Drosophila melanogaster: one gene and its partner. The protein of the gene in region 1 purifies or fractionates together with the protein of each later gene. This does not show direct contact. Each region holds a gene or a part of one and is shown in the gene's direction. Other genes may lie near its edges.

Evidence for each region. The genes of interacting proteins can lie anywhere in the genome.
Region 2: the proteins of veli (region 1) and vari purify together in Drosophila melanogaster (affinity purification with western blotting, with the first as the bait; one study listed by BioGRID). This does not show direct contact.

What each region holds. Positions count from the first base shown.
Region 1 is NT_033777.3:25,063,338-25,067,348, reverse strand, and holds veli (veli), read left to right. Parts: upstream 1-1,757; 5' UTR 1,758-1,834; coding exon 1,835-1,871; intron 1,872-1,934; coding exon 1,935-2,488; intron 2,489-2,552; coding exon 2,553-2,702; 3' UTR 2,703-2,931; downstream 2,932-4,011. Other genes in the region: Stt3B (catalytic subunit 3B of the oligosaccharyltransferase complex), read left to right, coding at 18-216, 271-342; PQBP1 (Poly-glutamine tract binding protein 1), read right to left, coding at 716-1,347, 1,408-1,471; stac (staccato), read right to left, coding at 3,080-3,171, 3,233-3,414, 3,472-3,641, 3,699-3,959.
Region 2 is NT_033779.5:20,793,841-20,799,391, reverse strand, and holds the start of vari (varicose), read left to right. Parts: upstream 1-2,349; 5' UTR 2,350-2,633; coding exon 2,634-2,739; intron 2,740-3,257; coding exon 3,258-3,355; intron 3,356-4,136; exon of another isoform or gene 4,137-4,384; intron 4,385-4,453; exon of another isoform or gene 4,454-4,586; intron 4,587-5,245; exon of another isoform or gene 5,246-5,332; intron 5,333-5,551.

The sequences.
Region 1 (4,011 bases):
CTAACTGCCTGTTTCAGAGGTCCATCTGGATATGATCGCACACGTAACGCCGTCATTGGGAATAAGGACTTCGATCTGACCTACCTGGAGGAGGCCTACACCACAGAACACTGGCTTGTTCGCATCTATAGGGTGAAGAAGCCGCATGAGTTCAATAGACCATCACTGAAGACCAAGGAGAGAACGATTCCTCCAGCAAACTTCATTTCGAGAAAGGTAGTGTACCCTGCAGCTCCCAATGAACTTCATTAACAATCTGATTCTTTGCAGAACTCTAAGCGTCGCAAGGGCTACATACGAAACCGACCGGTTGTTGTTAAGGGAAAACGAACCTTGAAATAAACCCAAAAAAAAAATAATTGTATTGATCTTTCACCAATATATATAACTTGGTTAAAACACTTTACACATAGCACATAGTTTGGTGAAAGTGTGTCCACCGCATCCTCATGTTGAGGGCTTTAATCGCCGCCTCAAATTCAACTTTCACATACTTCCCGACTCGTGCGACACAATTTTATCGAGTTGCTGCTTTCGTAAAATTTCCGGTTCCTTCGATTTAAATCTGTTCGCGGCTCCACCATTCATTGTCTTAAGCTAGCAATTCAATAAAGCAGAGTGTACATTTTTAAACCTTAATATCTATCATAGTTATTCATTTTTATTTGAACAGTAGCGATCTACAGCTCATAAGTCAAATGGCTAGTTAGTAGTGCTAGTTATCATTACGGCGACGTCGTTGGATTTTTCGTTCCAGGTCCCTGGACTTTTGCTTCTTGGCGGGAACGAATACGTCGGGCTCGTCGGGTTCATTTTGGTTAGAAGACTTGGGCTGAACCATGTTGGTATCGAAGTTGAACTCATCGTTGGAGTTGGCCAGTTGTCTGCGAAACACTGCGGCGCTGTTGGTGATCCGTGCTTTGGGATGCGAAGGAGGTAGCCACGAAACAGTCTGTGTGGTCGAGTTATAGAAGTAAAACGCCTTGCAGCCCTTATCGTAGACATCCTTCCAGCCCGCCTCCAGTGGATACTTCCGCAGCAATCTCTTGTAGCGCTTGAGATACCTATGGCTGGGCTGCGAAAGCGGCGAGCTGTTGAACTTGTTTACGCAGTACAGCGAGCACTTGTGGTATATGTTGTATTTGTTGGGACACAGCTTGTAGCCATGGTAGGACTCGTTCACGCCGATCCGCTCCTTGATGCGGTGCGACCAGAACTTCTCCTCGACGCTCCTGCGCTTGGGCTCCGGCGATGTGTCCTCCTTGTACGGGTAAGGGCCGCTCTTGTCATCGTCATCGTAGTTCTCGGCTATAATCTCTTCTATAGCTTCTGAAATCGGTGCTGCTCCTGTGGAAAGCTGAAGTTGGTTATCCTCTTTTTGGATTCTATACTGGTCTTTGTATTTACCCGACTGTTTGGTCACAAGTCCGCGCTTCTTCAGGCGCTGCAATAGTGCAGCTGGCAGGCTCATTTTGCTATTATTCTATTGTTAGTTTAAATAAATACGGTGCGGAAATAATATCAATATAAAATAATATGACCATGGATGTACGTGCATAAAATACCACACTTTCAAGAAACTTGTTTGTTTCAAAAGATAATTTTTTAAACGAAAAGTACTGAGATTAGATTATAAGTATATGATATATTGTTAAATATAAAAAATATAACTTTTGTTACTATTTTATTAAACCAAATTATTTCAAATAGAGAATATAATTTCACGGAATGGTATTTTGTGCCCCTGAGACGTATGGTCATATTATTTTCAGCTGCTCGAATAATATTTCAGGTCAGCTCAATTTGACTGATTATTATTAAATTGAACAGCAATATGGCCGATAACGCAGAACCACTGACTTTGTCCAGAGGTAAGGGTGCATGCTAACCATTCCCAGTTGGAGGAAACTCACACCCAATGCTCTAACTTTCAGATGTCAAAAGATCGATAGAGCTCTTGGAAAAGCTGCAAGCGAGTGGCGACTTCCCCACGACAAAACTGGCCGCCCTGCAGAAGGTGCTCAACTCGGACTTCATGACCTCCGTGCGGGAGGTGTACGAGCACGTCTACGAGACGGTGGACATCCAGGGCTCCCACGACGTGAGGGCATCCGCCACTGCCAAGGCCACTGTGGCAGCCTTCGCAGCCAGCGAGGGGCACGCTCATCCCAGAGTCGTCGAGCTCCCGAAAACGGAGGAGGGTAAGACACGCCCCTATGAGCTAAGAATCGAGGGGATTCCCCTATATCATAAAACCAATACCTTGATTGTAAAGGTCTATAGACCGAGAATATATGTTTCTATTATACATCTTATATGGAAAGCTTTATCAATCTTTAATTTTTGTTTTTCAGGCTTGGGTTTCAATGTAATGGGGGGCAAGGAGCAAAACTCGCCCATCTATATATCCCGAATAATACCTGGAGGCGTGGCTGACAGGCATGGTGGTCTGAAAAGGGGAGATCAACTTTTGTCTGTGAATGGTGTGGTAAGTCATTAATTCAGTTATGTACCTTAACTCCTTAAGAACTTGCAAAATATCAATATTTCAGTCTGTCGAAGGAGAAAACCACGAGAAGGCCGTAGAGCTATTAAAGCAAGCTGTCGGATCTGTAAAGCTGGTGGTACGCTACACACCAAAGGTTCTCGAGGAAATGGAAATGCGATTTGATAAGCAACGCAACACACGTCGTCGCCAATAAGGCACATCGGCAAAAACTTGTGCCATAGTAGTTTTTGCCATTAGACCATGCTGATATGCACGTATCAAGCCCTTTACGAATAATATAATTTAACACAAATACCATTTATATATTATTTATTACAAAGAAACTCTGGAAAATTACTCTTTAATCGTAAAAAGTGAGTGTTATGTATTTGTAACTAATTACCGCGTTGGTTTTTGTTCCAATAAATGTAATTAAAACTGTCAGACAATGCAAATCTTTTCTTCATAAGTTTCAGTCCATAAATGGGGCCCATTTCAAAACGCAACTTTGTAAATTTTAGTACGATTGCCGTAGAAAATATAAAAATACAGTTTTATTGCTTTTCTTTACAACGTATAACTTTTCACAATTTAGGAGAAGGATCGGTTCTTCAGCTTTTTAAGGAAATCCTTGGCCTGCTTATCACCTAGTCTGTATTCCAAGGCACGCAGTGATTCGGAATCTGAAAGCACATAACATGTATAAGTTTCCAGTTTTAATCTGCCAAAAGTATGATTAGGTACCTGTATACTCTGGTCTGGATAGATTCATCATTATTTGCTCGCCCGGTGGTGTCGCTTCCAGATCTGCGAAAGATATATAGCTCTCTGCTATATACTGGCTCGACATGCCGAATAAATCTTTATCTTTGATGCTAAATACAATAAGACTATTCTTTTCACTTCGCTGGTGGTCACTCAAGTTTCTGCCGAATGAAGGTATATTTATATATGGATGCATAAATTAAAAAGTAACTACTTACATACGAAACTCCTGATCGTAAAGCGGAAAACAACTTTTGTTGTGCACGTTGGTCTTCACAGTGGGTACGTCGTTGAATCGACTTGTGGGCATGAAACTGGCCTTAACAAATGAGTCCACCGAACCATTTGAATCCATTGGCAGCAGATTGCGAGCATTTAAGATATTTAACTATAAGATATTTAACTCATTAAGCGGATTTTATGTTTCAAATGATTGAAGTCCTACCAATAAGCCGGTATCAGTTAACTGAGCCGTGATGGTAAGTTGTCCATATGGAGATGACTCTTGGCTCTTTTGGTTTTCTAGACGCTCCAAGTAATACTGATGAATAAGATCCGATGTCTCCAGGGAATAAAGCCTTAGTCGACTTTGAATTGAAGACAATATTTTTATGTCTGAAGTTTGAAGGTTGCCCATTTTAAAGCAGTCCATCATTGTCTGAAGAGTATTGTTCAAATTTTGGAAGAAAGCTGGTGGTCGGCGTTTCTAAAAAGATAATCAATTTCTTTTTATATTGTTTCATACTTGATAGGTCAGA
Region 2 (5,551 bases), on another chromosome or scaffold:
AAGTAGAGTTAATATTATATCCGGTTTAGGGGGCTAGAAAACAATAACCATTCAAAACAAGGATCTACGGCAGACAATCCGGTTTGGAGATTACATCATCAGGCCGGTTTATAAGCCCGGTTCAGGTCGAAATGATCAAATCGCATTCCTGAATTCTCCACACACTATCGGTTTTGGGTTCTCGATTCTCAAGGTAACCCGATGCTGGCCAATTCCCGTGACAGGAAAGAAGGCACGTAATCTTGTTCAGGGTTGTTGGAAATCGAAATATGGCACTTTTCTACCTGACTACATTCGACATTTGCGTATATTATTCGAATAGTCGTTTTTTTTCCCCCGATTTCGTCACAGTGCATTAATCAGCATTGTGTTACCCTTTGTTATATTGTTAAGGTGCAAATTTCAAATCCATATTTCTCCATGTATAAATATATATTTAAATTGCTCAATTCCCAGCTGAGTCTGCCAATAGGTTGAGTGTTATTTTATATCAAAGGGCATTCAATATAAAACAATTCAAAACGTATCTGGGCATTTATATATTTAAAAACTGCGTTTATTTATGAGGTTTATATAAAGAAACAGTTTAAGAATAGAAAAATGTAATAAACTTCTGTTACCATGCCGACCATTTGGCACTCATTTAACCACTGTGCCTCTAAAATCAAGGACTCTCGATGGCTGAGCTAAATTTTTTGCACATTTGCGGGTTTCTTGCGCACAATGGTCAAAGGGGCGCGAATCAAACGGGGGCCTTGACTTTTGCACTTTTGGCGAATTTTTTTTACAGCAGGACATACAGCAAATCGGACGGAGGATAAAACAAGAACCAAAAAGAAAGATACAAGGCACAAATACCGAAAGACAAGTAACTCACCACGACGGGGGGTGTCGCCGGAGGTGAAGGTGGATAAACAGGAATTTCTGCCTGTTCTGTTTTGATTTTTCGCTATCTCTCTCTTTCGCTCAGCTGCTTCTGCTTCTTCGGTTTGTTTATGTGTAATCCTTTTGTTTCTTTCGATTTTGGCGCGCAATTTTCCTTTTTTTTATTGCTATTGTTTTAGTTGTTGCTAATTACTAATTTGCAATGCAATTTTTCAAAACACGCGAAGCCGTTTTGTTGTGGCCGTTGTTATTGTTGCGTTGGCCGTGTGATTGCGGTTATAGTTGTCGTTGCGTTGTTGTTGGTTGTTGCTAGTTGCTGTTGTTGCTTTTGCAACTTTTTCACAATTTGCATTTCACGTATTTTTGCAGCAGCTTCGACGACTTTGACTTTGTTGCACAAACACAGGCGGAAAAACGGCCACACACTAACGAACTGAAAACAACAAAACAATCCGAGGAAGCTGCTGGCGTCTCTTTTCCTTCGATTTTTTCCCAAGATTGCCAATCCGATTTTACTGCCTGATTTAGTGTACTTTCGCGAATCTATAGTTATTTCCGCAGCCAGTCATTCAAAAACGAAAATGTAAACGAAACAGTGGGTTTACATTAATATATCATCACATAAATATGGGTTTTTTTGAATCCCAAAAGCATCTCGTGTTACTTAGCGCGACAAATCGGTTTCCGACGTATACTCGTTCGCTGAGATGTTATTCCACAGTGGTATTTAATTTGTTTTTACTCTTCATGCGAGGAAAGCACCGTACGCGCACGCTGCTCAAAACGGAATGAAAACAAGAGCTGTCGCATCGTTTCAGCCGAAAAATACCGAAGCATGCTGAAACTTCGAAAAATACCGCAAGCGAGAAACGATGTTTTTTCATCTATGGCAAGTCGACGTCTATTACCCTTTCGATTAATAGAAATAAAATATTGCATATTTATTGAAGTAACGAAGTTTGTTGCATCCCAGAGTTTTGTTAAGGCATAAATAAAGTTCCATAAGCAATTTAAAGACTATTTAATTAAATTGATTTCTAATTGGCATATGAACGAACATTTATTGGTCGTCCAGTTTAGAGTACATATTTATGTACAAATCGAAGTAAATTTTTTATAATATTAACGCACGGTTTATCAATGGCACAAACCATCAGCGATTCCCAAGCCATCCATTTTTAGCTATGTTATAGCTATAGAAAAAGCAATCACAAGCAAAATTAAAGATAATAAACAATATTAAATTTAAATGGCCTGAGAACAGTGGAATGCATTTTTATGACAGGCTTTCGAACTCCGTACATAAAGTACATTTACCGTACCGACCCAACAAAGAAGTGGCGCCGATAAGCACAATATTTAAAAACCGATAGGCACACGTTATTTGACTTTTTGTCTGCAAAAGCTTTCTCGTTTTAAGGAGCTTTGATTTTGGCATCACCTGCAACAAAAGCGGTTTTCAGTTTAGTTAGCCTCTTTCTCACAAACAAGTCGGTTGTTTTTGCGCTGTTGGAGGAGTGAAATTCTTAGCCGCGCTATTGTTTTTGTTGTTTGCGTGGCGTTGTGTTTATAACAATAACAACAAGTGATTATCACTGGAAGACATGTTCTGTTCAAGTAGCTAAGCATATGGCTGGCTAAGAAAAAAAACACAAGGGTTATAACCCTTTTTTGGCCGAAATACGAGACTGTCCTCCGGGGTTACTTCATTCGGTCTGTTATTTTGGCCACCTCCCAGTTCCTTCAAAATGGTTCGGTGGAGCGCGCGGTCGCGGCGCCAAGCTCGCCAGGATAAAGTGGAGCTATTGGCCAGAAACAACAAAGTGAATGGCGAGGACGATACCTCCGATAACGGTACGTGCCAGGGGTGTCCTCAAAAGGAGAATTTTAAGCGAAGTTCATACGAAATTCCAAACTATCATTTTATTGTTGTTTCTTTTTCCTTTAAGGCTCTGTTAATAAAGTTTTAATTTTGAAGATTTCAGTTGTTTAAATAGTTAAAAGATTTACAAACTAAATATTTCAATTCATATTCAAAAAGTGAAACGAGACAAGAGTTATGTTGCATTTCAGTAAGCCTGCTTGAAGTAAATATAATGATTTGTACTCATAGCTAAGAATAATCTGAAACCTGTTTGAAGATATGCGGTCTTTAAATGTATTTACAATAAATCGATAACAAAGAATATGATTATAAAACGAAAAATCAGATGCATGTATATCTAAATATTTCCCTCTAGAATTCCATCATTGTATGAATTGTATGAATTGAAAAGGGTAGCATTAAGCTGCCAAAACGAATGTCATTTCATCTGTTTCCGATTGTCATTTAACGACTGCGATTAATCTAAAACACTTTCGCTCCGTTTTAGCCGCCTTTCGCAACTCGACTGACCTATCCGACCACGATGAGATCTTCCTCAAGGGATTGCTGCGTAGTAACTCCAACACGCCCCACAAGGAACTGATGGCAAGTAGACCAGAACATATAAACGTAAAAAGGCGAGAGAAAATATCTCTGTACAATTTCTGACCCACTTAAACGCCTTCGAGCATCTGCTCAATAAGAAAATTGCGCATACGGTTTTCCACCCATTTTCCATACCCAGCCACACACACGCACACACTTTCCACATTTGTGTTTACTTCATCGATGGCATTGCATGCTGATTTTTCGGTCTAGATAGAATTTTCCGGGCTGCTTGTATGTGCGTGTGTTTGCTTTTCTTATTACATCATTTTCCTTGCCTCCACAAGCGCCAAAAAGAAAAGAAAATCCTTCTGTATTTTAAAAGATTTTCTCGCTTTAGCCATGCACTGCAATTGTTTTTTTTTTTTTTTTTGACTTCGTAATGGCCCATTAGCACTTGCTATTTTATTTTTGCCTTCCTCTTTTGAGTTTTCGCACTAAACTTGACCTCTATTGCCTCGGCAGATGAGTTGCCTTTATGCAGATGGGAGGCATTTTATTAGATCATCGTGACATAACCATTGAAGTGGAAATTATCTTGACCCGACACATTTAGCGCCTCCTCGAAGGTTTCTTACGGTAAAAGAACTGCCAAAAAGTTTGTAGCCTAATCAAATTGTAAATATTATTTGCTGTTCCTGCGGCAAACACGCAGGTCAACTAGAAAAACAATGAGAGGCAGTTACAACCAAAATTAAAACGAATTTGTTGTGCTCTGTATACAAGAAAAATAACAAAATATTTTAATTAATTTTTAAAAATTAATTTTCAAAATTGAAGATGCCCTTTCTAAGATGTAAAGTTATTCTGTTGGCGAATAATAAAGAAGTGGGGAATTAAATAGTATGTAAAAAATAGGCGTAAAACAATGATTATTAAGACCCAAACTAGCAGTACGGAAAAGCCAAATACAACAAATATTATGGAAAGCGACATCGTGTGACGACGACCATAATTAGAATCCAACATTTTCCGAGGCATTTTCCTGGGCAGGCTCATTCGTTTGTGGTTTTCTGCTGTGGTCGGCGGCTGTTGAGAAAGGCAGTGAAAGTAATTAAGCCACGAGTCACGAGATAAGAAAATATGAAATGTCACTACCAGCTCCCCTGTTTTCCTTTCCCCAACTCGCCTGTCGTCACCGCTCCTTGGAACACTCCCCCATTTTATGCAGATTACATAAAACTCGACGCAAGTCGCCGTGCCAACTCTTTGACATCAACGCCCCAAAGAAGTTGTGTGTATTTGAGTGTGAATAAGGAAACCGGTTTGGAAACATTTTCCAACGTAAACACTACGCTTTTTATGCTACCTGCGCTCGAAAACGATGCACAAAAAGCGCCCAGCTCGTTGGCCTACTAATGCAGCTGTGGTCGGGAGATCGAAAAAGCTTGCTATAAGATGCTGTTAAGATCACTGAAGTAGTTGGTAAAAACATTGCAAAGCATGTTATAGCCAAACTTACTTATTTAAGGTTCTGTTTTACTGAACAAAGTATAAAGCTAGTTAAATAAATATGTTTCAGCAACATTTGAATTATAATATTTGGAAAGCTAAGATCAGATTATTTAATTTCAGTATAACATTTAACAGAACATTTTAATGTTGGTTATTGTTATATTTTAGATATACCCCAAGTATGTACATATTTGTATTTTAAAAAGTTTTCTACAGTTTCAAATGGTTTTCATTAACAGAAAGAGAGGGCGCGTCACTGCTGGTTTTAAGTCACTGTTAAGTACAAGCTAACATGTGGATAACAGACTGCGTACAGTTGTAACTTGGCTCACGCGGAGCTTTTTTCACGGCAAGCCAGCGGCAAGCGAACTGAGCAGCAAACAAAGCTAGCCCTAACTTGCTCACTAGCTCTCGCCGCTTGCTTCCATAGCTCGTGAGTCAGTTAGTTGCGAACAGTGCTAAGGTGAGGTTCACATTCCGGTTTGAAACGCGCGCTTCGTTGGTTTCGGCCCATTCGAATGAGTGAGCATTGGTGCCTGACTGTAGTATAGGTGTTTTCACGGTGGTGTTTGTGAGCGTGGCTTAAACGGGCGGCTTGAAACCGAAAAGCAACAGTTAGTTGGTGCTCTCTCTGCCCTCTCTCTTTCGAATTCAACAATGTTCATAAACCATTTTCCGTGTGAAAATTAATAAGCCCACTTCAGGTGCTAATTACGAATCGATCAATATTATTGTAAAAAC